Linked DNA regions of Drosophila melanogaster. The protein of the gene in region 1 interacts with the protein of each later gene in a pairwise test. Each region holds a gene or a part of one and is shown on either strand. Other genes may lie near its edges. The genes, in order: CG15878 and CG7191.

What was found.
Region 2: the proteins of CG15878 (region 1) and CG7191 interact in a two-hybrid assay, tested with the Drosophila melanogaster proteins (one large-scale study listed by BioGRID).

Annotation. Positions count from the first base shown.
Region 1 is NT_037436.4:2,210,360-2,214,317, reverse strand, and holds CG15878 (uncharacterized protein), read left to right. Parts: upstream 1-1,814; 5' UTR 1,815-1,929; coding exon 1,930-3,270; 3' UTR 3,271-3,445; downstream 3,446-3,958.
Region 2 is NT_033779.5:7,765,645-7,773,708, forward strand, and holds the start of CG7191 (uncharacterized protein), read left to right. Parts: upstream 1-1,983; 5' UTR 1,984-2,073; intron 2,074-5,617; 5' UTR 5,618-5,675; coding exon 5,676-5,961; intron 5,962-7,424; coding exon 7,425-7,606; intron 7,607-7,820; coding exon 7,821-8,014; intron 8,015-8,064.

The DNA.
Region 1 (3,958 bases):
TAATTAGATATTTTAAACATCCTTTAAAACTGTTCAATGTTTGGAGTCTAAGCCAACTGTCGAGTGTTAATAGCCCGTGGCGTTGAATGTCCAATTAAAGACCGTATTAGGTTGCCATCGTTTGGATGAACAATTTGCATTTTTCTGGAGAAACAAAGGTAACGACAGCAAACACTCCTCTCACGACATCAATCACTTGGCCACACACAAAAATGCCAAGGCACATAGATCGCAATTAATTTACCCAAGCCAACCAGCCAGCCACCCAGCCTCAATTTGGCATGGAGTCAGTCAGCCCGTGTTTGCCCTCCTCCTGTTGCAGCTGCCAGTTGCATCTGCAACCGAGTCTATGCCGGCACAGTGTCTCCTCCTGGCAGCAGATACTCTCCGCTTTCAGCCATTCGAAGAGGACACCCATGGAATGCCGGCTCCATCGGAGCCATCGTTTCCATAGGATCCATTGGATACATCGGCATGACGTCGTCTGCCGTGTTTGCCTGCATGTCAAATTCTCATTTCATTGAAATCGGCAAATATTGACTAAGAACTTCGATGCAATCAACGCTGCCGGCGACTGTGACAAATGGGCGTGGCATGTCGACATCTCGGAGGCAAATCGATGTTGCCGGCATATTTGCATGGCAACGAAAGTGAAACTAGGCGAGCTGGAAAAGTGAAAAGTGAAAGCCCAAGGGAAAGCTTAAACTAATAAAGCGAGCAAAGAATCAACGGTTGAGTGAAAACCACTTGACCCAAAAGTCGTATTTTTCAAACTGACTTTGTGGGTCAGGTATGAAAGATAATATTGTTTTTAGGCTACAGAGCTCACCGCCAAGCGAATTAAATTAAGGTTACTATTTGAACTTCTAACTTCACTTGCATATGCATTTTATAATAAAATTCGTTGATTCTAGAATAAAGTTCTTAAGCACATCTGATGAGCTCTTAAAAACTCCATCTTATTAGTCCGGAAAACGAAACCACTTGGTTATTAAAACATTGCGGCAAATTGCTACGCAACTTTTGGAGTCAATAAACTAAACGGCCAAAACGGGCGAGGCCACTCAGGCGAATCCTGGCGGGTAAGGATAATCAGCACAGCTCAGACATCCTTTGAAGCCAGGTGGGGCGGAAAGAGAAACAGAAACACCTGGGAGCGAGTCAAAAAACAATTTCGCCTCATTATCATTTCAACATATTGTATGCCCAAGTGTTTCAAATTGTTCAAAGAGAGAGAGAGAGCAGGAAAACTCGAAGGACGAGTTGGGCTCCTGATGAAGAAGTTTTCCCTTTTCGTCCTCGTCTAAGGTTGTTGCTGGATGTCGGATGTTGCGGGCGGGATGTTGGTGGGTGGCAAGTGTAGGTGCTGCCGGAAATCACTATGCTCATAAATGCGCCATGAATAAATTAACTCGCTGAAAAGCAAAAGCCAAGCTAAACTAAAAGCCGAGCAAAACAAAGGCGAGTGGCTGAGCAGAGCCTTAGATTTCAAACGAATGATAATAATAATTGAAGCAGCGACCCAAGTACTTGCACAATGGTTAGGTAATAACGCTGTACATGTACATTAAACAAGCAAGAGTGTGCTGTGTATGAGTCGGCACTGAGAGAAAAATGTGATAAGATTGTAATTTACGATCATTCATTTTTCAAAAGGAGTTATTTTCCTAAAATTTTAAAGATACAAGAGGGAGTTAGTGGGACTTAAATTGGTGGCAGTTCCTTGATTCTATTTATTTATTTATTGATTTCTTCTATTCATTCCAGAGCAAAAAAGCAACGTAAGCGATAACAGTCTAAGCAACCGCTTAGTTGCTAGACAACATCAAAATTTCCAGAAACAACAGCTTTATCGATATTCCTGGTAGACCCCGGTGACCCTGGGAGTGTGTTCTCGACCCCCGACAGGAGCAGTCACACCCCGCCAAGATGTCCTTTCACCGGATCAATGTCAAACAAGCTTCCATAGCCGCCCGCCAGCGGCAGTCGCGGACGACCAGGATGACCCGGCACACCATTTTCAATTTGAAGAGACCCATTACCTTCCAGGTGCGCAAGTCGTTGGTGGAGTACGTGGACATGGAGCTAGCGGACATGGACACCTCCGTGTTCTATCAGCGCATCTTTATCCTGGCCAAGAACTGCCACTTGACGCCAGTTGTGTCCAACGAGGAGTTGCTCGCCGACGCGGTGGTGGAACAGGCTGAGCCTGAACCAGATGAAGCGGCGCCCATACAGTTCATGGAGGATGTGATCTTCGACAACACTGAAACGGAATCGCCCATGAACACGACGGCGGATCCAGCGCCCATTCCTGCACCGGAAGAAGGTGCGACGGAAACTGCAGAAGTAGTTACCCACATGTTCCGTTTCAGTGAAGACGATCCAGAAGAAGACTTTGTCGAAGAGGAGGAACTGGAAATGGACACCCAAGCACCCGATCAGCCCAAGGACTTCTTTGCCATCTTCAGCGAGCGCCTGCAGGAGCTGCATAAGCAGTGCAAGGCGCTGGCCATCACGCCGGATCCCATGTGCGGATTGTTTCTCCACATGGGCGAATACAGCATGCTGATGCTGGAGTCCTCCGAGGACATGATCGGATGCTTCACACGGGCCCTGGCCGATTGCTGTGAGACTTTCTGGTTGATGAATCGCGTCTTCCAGATCGAGGATCACGTGCAGGAGCTCTATACAAAAGAACTTATGTTTCGCCGCATCCCTTCCGTCTTTCTGAACGAGAAGTTCCCCACCTCCACGCCCACCGATGAGTATCTCATGGGAAAACAGCATCTGATCATCAAGGATAAGCTGCTGACCATCTGCCGGCTGCTCTCGGAGGGTCAGCAAGTGGATCCGGACGGGATCTCCACGCGAGAAAGCGACATGGAGGACGATATGCCAAAGTCAAAGTCCAAGAGCTCAATCCTAAGCGAACACTTGCCGGTGGAGGTGTTCCGGAAGCACCTGCCCGAGATCCAGCGCATCGAACTGGTTTTGGCATCCACACGATTCTACTACGAGTTGGGAGAGTTCGCCTGGCTCTACGGCCGGGTACCCTTCTCCCCCGACGAGGACGGTCTCTTCTGGCCCATACAGAGCAACTACACTCCTCCGAACATCTTCCGGCGCACTCCGTACGACATAAATCTCACATTTGGTGAGTATGCCGCGGAGGCTAGCAAGAGAAAAACCCAAGGAAGCCTGGTCGGAAGTATAGCTGACGAGGAGGAGGCTCCACCAAATGAAGAGACCCCGCCAAAGACAGAATAAGTGGTTCGGTAATTTGTAGTTGTATTTTAACCTTAGATTTTGTGTCCATTGTATTTTCTAAACCGTCAAGCGAACAAACTGTCAATTCTAAAGAATTCGCGCCTCAGCAAGTATGTTTGTTTTAGCATAAACCTAAAGATTTCGCGTACAAATAAAGAAATCCCATTTATAAAACAAGATTTTTGGTAAATATACTTTAGAAGCCCTGTTTTTTGAGTGTGTCGTCATCAAGAAGGAGCAGCAGTTGTCGCTGTTATCTCTGAACCTCGCGCTCGGTTACAATGTTTTCGGCATTGTGCACATGACTGCATCTCATCTGAGGGCAGGTGGATTGGATGGAGCTGGTGGCTGTCGGGTACATGAATGGGTGTGGGGTTTTCGGCTGTTATGTGGTTTCAGCCCATTCGGGGCTGTCTTGTTTTGGCTTGCCACTTGAATGGCTCGACTTTGTTAACATAAACATAAATTCGCGGTGTGAGTGCGCACATGTGTGGGCTTGGCTGGCGAATGGCTGAATGGTGCGCCTTTTAACATAAACCGCATCAGACGCCAGCTGTCAGTTGTAATACCGTCGGAGCTCCGGGCTTGCAGCTGTCAAAAGCCGCTGCTGCCATTTGGAGTCACTTGACAGTGGGCCAAAAGAACACGGCAGCTTATGGGTGATTGCGTGGGCTTAGGGTGGGACGAC
Region 2 (8,064 bases), on another chromosome or scaffold:
TGGGGTTTAATTAAAGCTGTAACGACTTGATTGTACCCGCATGACAACAAAAATAAAGCGGCCGAAAAATCCAAAAACAAACGCGTGAGTCAATTGCACATTTCACTCGCCAACGCCCGACAAGTATGCTACAAATATTTGCTCAGCGATACGGATATGCGTAACGGAAAGATATGCGGGCCAAATAGTGTTCTGAAAACCGAATCCTCGAAAGAAGATTACACGGAAAACTAATTTAGTAAATGATAAGGTCCGCTGAGTTTTCATGTGTATAATGATTTTTGGGTAATGATTTATTTTATTTATTTTTACAAATAAATGTATATGATGATATATATTAATTTCATTATAACTTCATAAGAAATATATTTATATATGACATATCAGGCTCTGTTTCCCGGAACACCAACCACAAATTTCAGAGTAATTAGCTGCGCTAATTTGTTTATCATTTTGTTTGGCACGTCGGCACATGGCGAGATTGCATGTGCCAAACCAGAAGGGCGTGACGCATTTGGATGAATCGGTGGCCATTTGGGTGGGTGGACTTCGGACTGATGCAACTTAAGTCGCACAATCCGCTTGCCATAAGGAGCGTAAAGTATGAAGAAGTGGAGGAGAGCGAACGAAATAAATAAAGACGACTATAAATAGCAGGTTCTGGCCAAAAATATGACTTTTGCCGCGCTACATGAGGAAGCCTCCATCCAGTGACACTTTCCCCTGCCCGCGAGCACTTAAACTTTTCAGCGGGCTATTATTGGTTTTCTCTGCGTAAGTGTCATCTTCTGTTGCCCCAGGCGATTTTCAAGAAAACCCTATATATGCTTATTTTCCCGGCCCGCCTTTTAGGCCAAAACAACACACAGTCACACACACATACATACACACACTCAAAACAATAACGAAAACATCGAAGGATCGTTTGGATTGCCCTCCATTACTAACGGCAATTTCACATTAAAGTGTCATCATTTTCAAGGCCTGCGGGCTGCGACGGTTGTTGACATCCGACTGGATGGATGTCCAGACCCTTCGATTCCTCCTCTGCGATTGCCGTGTTCCTTTTGGATTTGCAGTTCAACTGGGAGTCGGACGGAAAGGATGGACTATTGGCCGAGGCCATTGCCGTTTAAGTTTAGGCAGCAAATGTTTTAAATATACACATTAGCTATAAATATAAAATTTGATTATTTTTTAATAAACGCCAATAGAAGGTAAAAAAAAAACAGACATCAAACCCTTTCGAATTAAATTTTATGAGTTTACCACATTTAAATAGATTTTTTATCTTTTTCCAGTATTTATCAGCCTGACTGATAGGCTATATCATCATCGATCTATAAATATAATCGTTGCCTAATTCATAAGTGCAGCAATATGACAATACCATTTTGCACTGGAATATGACAATGCAATTACATTTAGGCGATTCGCTGGAAATTTTCAAATACATTTCCAAACTACCGGCCTGCAGGGATTTCCGCAGCGTCATGCTTGGCAGGTCCTTTGAGGAACTTTGAGACCTCCCACAGAAAGGCGAGATTCCGAGAAACGAGTGACCCGGACTATTCAGAATACGTTTCCGTAAACAGGGCCGTCAACAAAGGCTTCTATCCACCCCAACCCGCAGATAATTTATCACCTTGCCACGTGACGTCTTTTCGCGACTTGTTGTCTACTTTGCGGCGCATATCGTGATCCTGCTGAATAATTGCCACCGACATTATTCATTCGCGAATATCGCGCTAAACTTTTTAAATGTCCCCAAAATATTTCATTGATAAAAACGGCCGTGGCTTCGTTTTCCAAGGAGGAGTGGCCAGTAAAAGCTTGTTTGAAGCTTTTACGCAATTTTTGGCGCCTTTACATCGGCTCGTTGAAATCGACGCACTCGTCATCGGCCGACGATGGCAACGAATCGGTTTCAACTTCGGATGCGGCCTTATAAAAGGAAGCGGCTCCGCGAGTCAACCACGCAGTGTTCAACAAGTAGTAGGTGCAACAGTTGACAGTATTCCGATTCTGATTCCGATTCAGTAACTCAAACGGTTTCCAGGAATATATTTTAAAGTGAGTGTTAACGGTGTATTTCGAATATCAGTCACGCCAAACTCTTTAAGAAGTTTCCAAAAAATATCTTGTGGTCTGTGTTTAATTTAAGCCAGTCGATTTCATAAAAAGGATAACTAAACGTGACGTGAAATCTTAGTAATGCCGTCGCTTTCGTCATCGATTACAGTGTCGTCAATGAAACTCGAAATACGCGCCTAAAAAAATAAATAACAATTTGTGGACATATATTAAATATGCCAAATAAGAACAGGAGAACTCTTATATTTAAAACTATTAAGTGAATTCGTTCTTAATAATACAGAAATATTTTTAAGGCAAAGAAAAGCCAGCTAAAACTTAATTCATTAATTCAGTACTTTTTCTTTGGTAAATTATTTTAATCTGCTCTTATATTTTGAATTGTATCAGAAGATATTTAACACAAAACTACCTTTGGCTTAAAACTGAAAATTACCATAAAGATAGAGCCTAGCCATTGTAAGTTCTCTTCAAAAATAAAAGTAAAATTTTCTTATTTTATTTCACCAACGCTTTTTACAAGAAAACCCCATTTATATGATTAATTTTATATATTATACTAATCTTGTAAATGTTTAACTACAATAATTTATTTTTATTAATTTATTAAAGTTCAAGCTTTTTAAGCACAGAGCATCACAGCTGAACTAGTTAAATTTAAAAATTCATTTCATTGCACTGGTGAGCTTACAAATTTTGGGAAAATTGGTTTTAAGGTTACTCGGGACAGCAATCCATAAATACTTTATCAATGTCAATAACTCAAGGAATTCCCACCAATGCCAAACACAAATGTCAATAAACCAATGAAAATCTAGGAGAAACAAATAGAAAAAAGCATCAATATTTGTTGTCCCCGACCTCGTTCTCTGTTTCAAACCCCTTAAGTTCCACGTGCAAAAATTCCTGACAATCGTATAGAAATTTAAAAAAAAAAACTGAATCAATCGAAAGCATTCCAAAGCTGTTTTCATGTCACAAAAATTCAGCATCCCACAGGATTTTCTCCTGGAGAATGTATTTACTGAAATTGGTTGTGCTATTTCTTTAGACATAGCAACTGAAAAGTATATCTAGAGGTATTGACTTACATTCCGCAGGCTATACTTTTCATTAAAGATTAGTACACGATTTTGTAGTTGGCGAGGATTTAAAACTGCAAAAAAAATACTTATGAATTTCATGGAATTTTCTTGGCTAGCACCCTTTTTTTGATTTTTCGTAGCAATCATTGCCGTCTGTCTGGTCCTTTGGTTTGGCTCAAACACTTTGTGTAACCTTTTGTGTGCAAATTTTGACAAGTATCCCAGATGGTCGGATTCAATAAGTAGAAAAGTTATGTAATATCCTACCCAGGATTGTTACGCACGTAGACCGTGTCTAATTGGCCGGACTCCGGCGACAAAATGTCCGATGCACTTGACCAACTCCACATCCTTAGCCCTAATTAAGCAGTTTTTCCGCCACACATGTCCAGGTGGTACGTAGGCGAATATAGTGGCAGATAAGGCCTATGAAAATTCCTTTGGGTTCGTGTGCGTTTCGGTTACACTTCAACTCAATTTAGCAATTAGCTGTGCGGTTATTGCGAAAAGGAAAACAGGCGACGGGTAAAAATGAACGTACAATTATATATGGGTTCCTGAAACTTCCCTCGCTTCCAAGTTAATTTCATTTTACCTTGGGGACATCGCCAACCAGGGTGAATTCCCTTCTTTTGCTTTTTTTTTCCTATTTTTTGTTTTTTGGGCTCTGTCCACTTTTTGACACTGTGTCAACAAGTTAATTAAGGCATTTTAACAACGATTCGTGTTTGCTTTGTTTACTTATAATTCGTTCTCTCCGCAGCAATTTCGAATAAGTTGTGCTTTCCCAAAAATAACGCCAAAGTGTCGCCCACTTAAGTGAGTGCCAATAAAAGAGGAGTAATTGAAAAAGTTTTCTTGCAGGAAATGCCCGAAGAAATTGCAATTTATTTCCAAAATTAATACCAAAAAAAAACAGGAAAATCGCAATGCACTTAAAGACCTAAATCTACGAGAGAACATTGTTCGCAAATATTTTGACAAAGTTGCAAATTTTCAATTGAATTTAATCAAAACGTGACGAAAAGTGAAAAGAAAATCATCCACAGAGAATTTCTCTTTCTCCGAGCAATTTTAATGAACCAAATGCAACCGTCTTTATTTTTTTGAGAGGGCGTGACAGAGTTGATTTGCTTGATTGATTTATGTGGTTAACTAACCATATAAATTGAGCTAATTTCAATGTATTTATCTGTGAGGTAGAACAGATTTTCTGGAAAATATTTTAATAAAGATTAATATTATTAAATTATAGAATTATGTAATAAATTATAATTCCTTAAAAAAACAGACGCTTAAACTTTCGCAGCAAACAGCGCTTTAATTATTTACCAAGCCCTTAATTAAATAATGAACTTTGGATTTCTTGGTGAAAATTTTCACACTTTTTTGTCGAAATTTGTCTTAGGCATACATTATTTTCAGTTGCTTGGGCAGACAAATTAAGCCGATCCTAGACATCTCAACCAGCGAGACCGCAAGTGCCAAAAGTTTCAGGCAACTCATTTATATTGCTCGTCAAGCGAATGTTTTTTAAACGCAAAAAAATGCGATAAGGTTGGCGGGTTTCCCCAAAACCCCAACAACCAGGCTCCTGAGCTAAATGGGCTAAAAATACGCTGCGAAGGAGTTAAGCCCACTCGCTCACTTCGGCGACGTCCCATCCTTAATTAAATGAAACGACAAAGCGCACAGAGTGGGCCCAGTATGAACCGCGATGCAGTACCTGACATAAAAAATATTTATAAAAGCACACAAACACCTACTGCACAGTGGTGGAAATCTATGCGAAAAGTAATAGCATTCTTATCAATTTTAATTAGAAACATCTTTCGTTAAAATCTACAAGAATTATAGAGTAGCTTTCATTTGTCTATAAATAAATGGGATGTTAAAAATTAGGCAGTACTTTTTAATATTCGAATATTAATATAAATATATTATTTTTCTGATAGTTGAATTGTGTAATTTCTACTTTATAAACAACATACTGCATCCGTCTTTGTTATTAACTATTTGTCTGCAAAGTACACAACCTTTATATTTTTACCCAATTTTTAAATAACGGCCTTAGTTAGTGGAAAAGGAGTAGAATTTGTTTGCCCGTATGGCCCACGGTTCTTCGCGCGAAGAAAGATTAAGCAGGAGCGCAAAACAAAAGCCCCAGAATCAGCCGCCAAGTTATCCAAGAGACGCCCTTTTGACGTTTGGCACCCACCGCCCATTTCTCCAGTTTCCCTCGCGATTCTCCTACTTTTGGCGGGGGTTTCTTGGTTGCTTGCGTGTTTATCTGAGTATTGTTTGCTTGAGCACAAAGAGACGCCCACACGCACGGCATAATGGGGCGGATGGGGTAGGTATCCATCCCATGGCCGTGGTAGTGACGGTAATTACCCTCTTGTACAAACATCTACGCTTTTTTTTTTTTTGCCTTCCAGAGACATCCACATCGCCAACGACCCGCGCACTAATCCCGAGCTCATCCGCAGAGGCTGTATGAACATGAAGCCCGACATCCTAGCGCTCTGCATCCTGGCTACCACGATCCTGTGCAGCAGGACGCGTCACGTCGCCGGCTTCCTGACTGCACAGTCCACCGCCAGCGGAGGAGCAGGCGGAGCAAACGGTGCCAAAGTGGGTGACCATCAGGGCGTGGCGTCCGTACCACAACGTCTTCATTTGCCCGTTCTAGCGGTCGGGGGCGGACCCGTTCGCCAAGGACCCGCTCTGCCCGGCGATGTCCTGGATGCCCAGGAACGAGCTGTTTACGATCCCGGCGATGGTGAGTCATAAACATCCCTATTACCGCTTTCCTTGCCATGGTAAACTTCCCGGGCATCAGCTAATCCCCAGTCGAATTAAAAGGATAGCAACTGCATCCAAAGACCATTTCAATTAAATTGTTATCGGGTTCTTTTTGAATGCGAAGACGTAATCGTGGTCAAGGTGAATCCTATAACCAAGCTATTCCATCGCCCTATAAAAATATATAGACCTTATTTATATTAGCCAAATTAATAGGCATTCTGATCCATAAAGCTGAGGAACTGGAACTGAATCTGTTCAGGAACTTTAATAAATGAACTAGTTATTTTGTTGTCATTTAGCTATTTTTCTAAAATATTTTCAATATTTAATGGCAGTTATGGCCTCCTATTTACTCCTCACCTGAGTACATGATTACGTTCAAAATTTTTGCTTGCCGACTTTTAGGCGACCCATTCGAAAGGGGTGGACCAAGAGTTAGGGTGACCCATGGCGTGCACTTAGCCGTAACCGTCGCCCACCATCTCTATCCCTAATGGCCATGGTGACCACCGCTCGCTGAACATTTTCGGTCAGTGCACAATTTTTCAAGTGCCTCACATTGTTGACCATCGCACAATATGTGGAGCATGTGTTTGTTTGTGCTGAGCACTTAAAACGCCCACCAAACTGCCCGGGATAGATTTTCAAATTTGTTGACGAATTTGATTCGACGTTTGCGTTTTACGTTGCTACCACCTACCTTCTACCAACCGGCAATAAAATGTCATATCCGATTTTCAATAAGCGAACTTGTTTTCCAAGCGATTTGATAGATGGGTAAATGGATTGGAAATTTAACGAATATCGATTTGGTTTGAGTTGGTAACATTTGAATTTTTGGACATGATCTTATAAACATACATATATGAAACAAAAATTTAAATTTATTTCTGTTTCTGATCTCGAAACTATTTATTTCAATTGAGGAGTCCTTAAATTTAAAACTGTAAATGCTTTGGGTTCATGAGCGTCCGCTGTCTGCGGCTCTTTGAAGAGACATCGAGTGGACAGTGATGGGCAGACTGGATGCCAAATGCGACAAAAGGCAGTCAAGGAGTTGCAGTGCCTGTTGACTTGACTGACGGACGTGGTCGAAAAGCCGAGAAGGCTTCCCCTGCCGCGGAGGGGAAAAGGAATGCTGTGGCCATAAACTCATTGCCGCCAGTCAATTTCCGCCAGTCCATTGAAACGACCGAAGAGCCGGGGGAAAACATATTCCAGCCAACCAGGACAGACAGACAAACAAACTATTCAAACTTTCAAATATCAAACGGCGGAAGTTTCCGATGGCAAGGAGCAGGAGTCGGGGAATTAAGTGGGAGTGGGAGTGGAAGTGGGAATGGGAATGGCAATGGCGTGGTTGTGGTCGGATTAGCGACAGCTTGAATAAACATTCAAATCGCAAATAAGGTCTTTGGCTTGCTCATTTCACGGCAGAATTACTCCGCGCCCAGGAGCTCGGATTGGCAGTGGTTCCTCAAGGTCCCGACTACGCGGATGCGGTGTACAACGAACTCGAGCTGGCCAGCAAGTTCGAGGTGCTCAAGAAGATGGAGGAGGATTTGCGTGCCGAGCAGGAGCTGGTGGACAAATCCGCTTTGCTCATGAAAATGCTGGAGGTGAGTGCGAAGACAGGCTGTCGAAATTTCGATGAAAATGTTGAAAAATACACGGTAAATTAAATTTTTTTAAAATATTAAACATAAACATCAAAACATATTAGCTTTTGCTTATAAATAACTTTTTGAGTAATGCATACTTAAGTGATAATATTTTTAATTTTTATTAAAATTTTAACACAATTTTTTGATCTATGTGCATTTTTTCGCTCAGGATCCCTCATTGGAAACCTTGCCCTTGGTCTACGTGGAGGAGGAGGAGCCGGAGGCTGTGATTCCTTCCGGCGGAGCCGAGGACTACGCCGACTTGGAGAACGCCGTTCAGGATTTGGTTTTGGGCCAGAGCAAATCCAAGCGTTCGCGCTACTATCGAAGGTATCCATGGAAGCGTCACAACAAGAATCGCGGGTAGGTTGCTTTTCTATATTTAAACATTATTCACAATAATCCGAAAATCC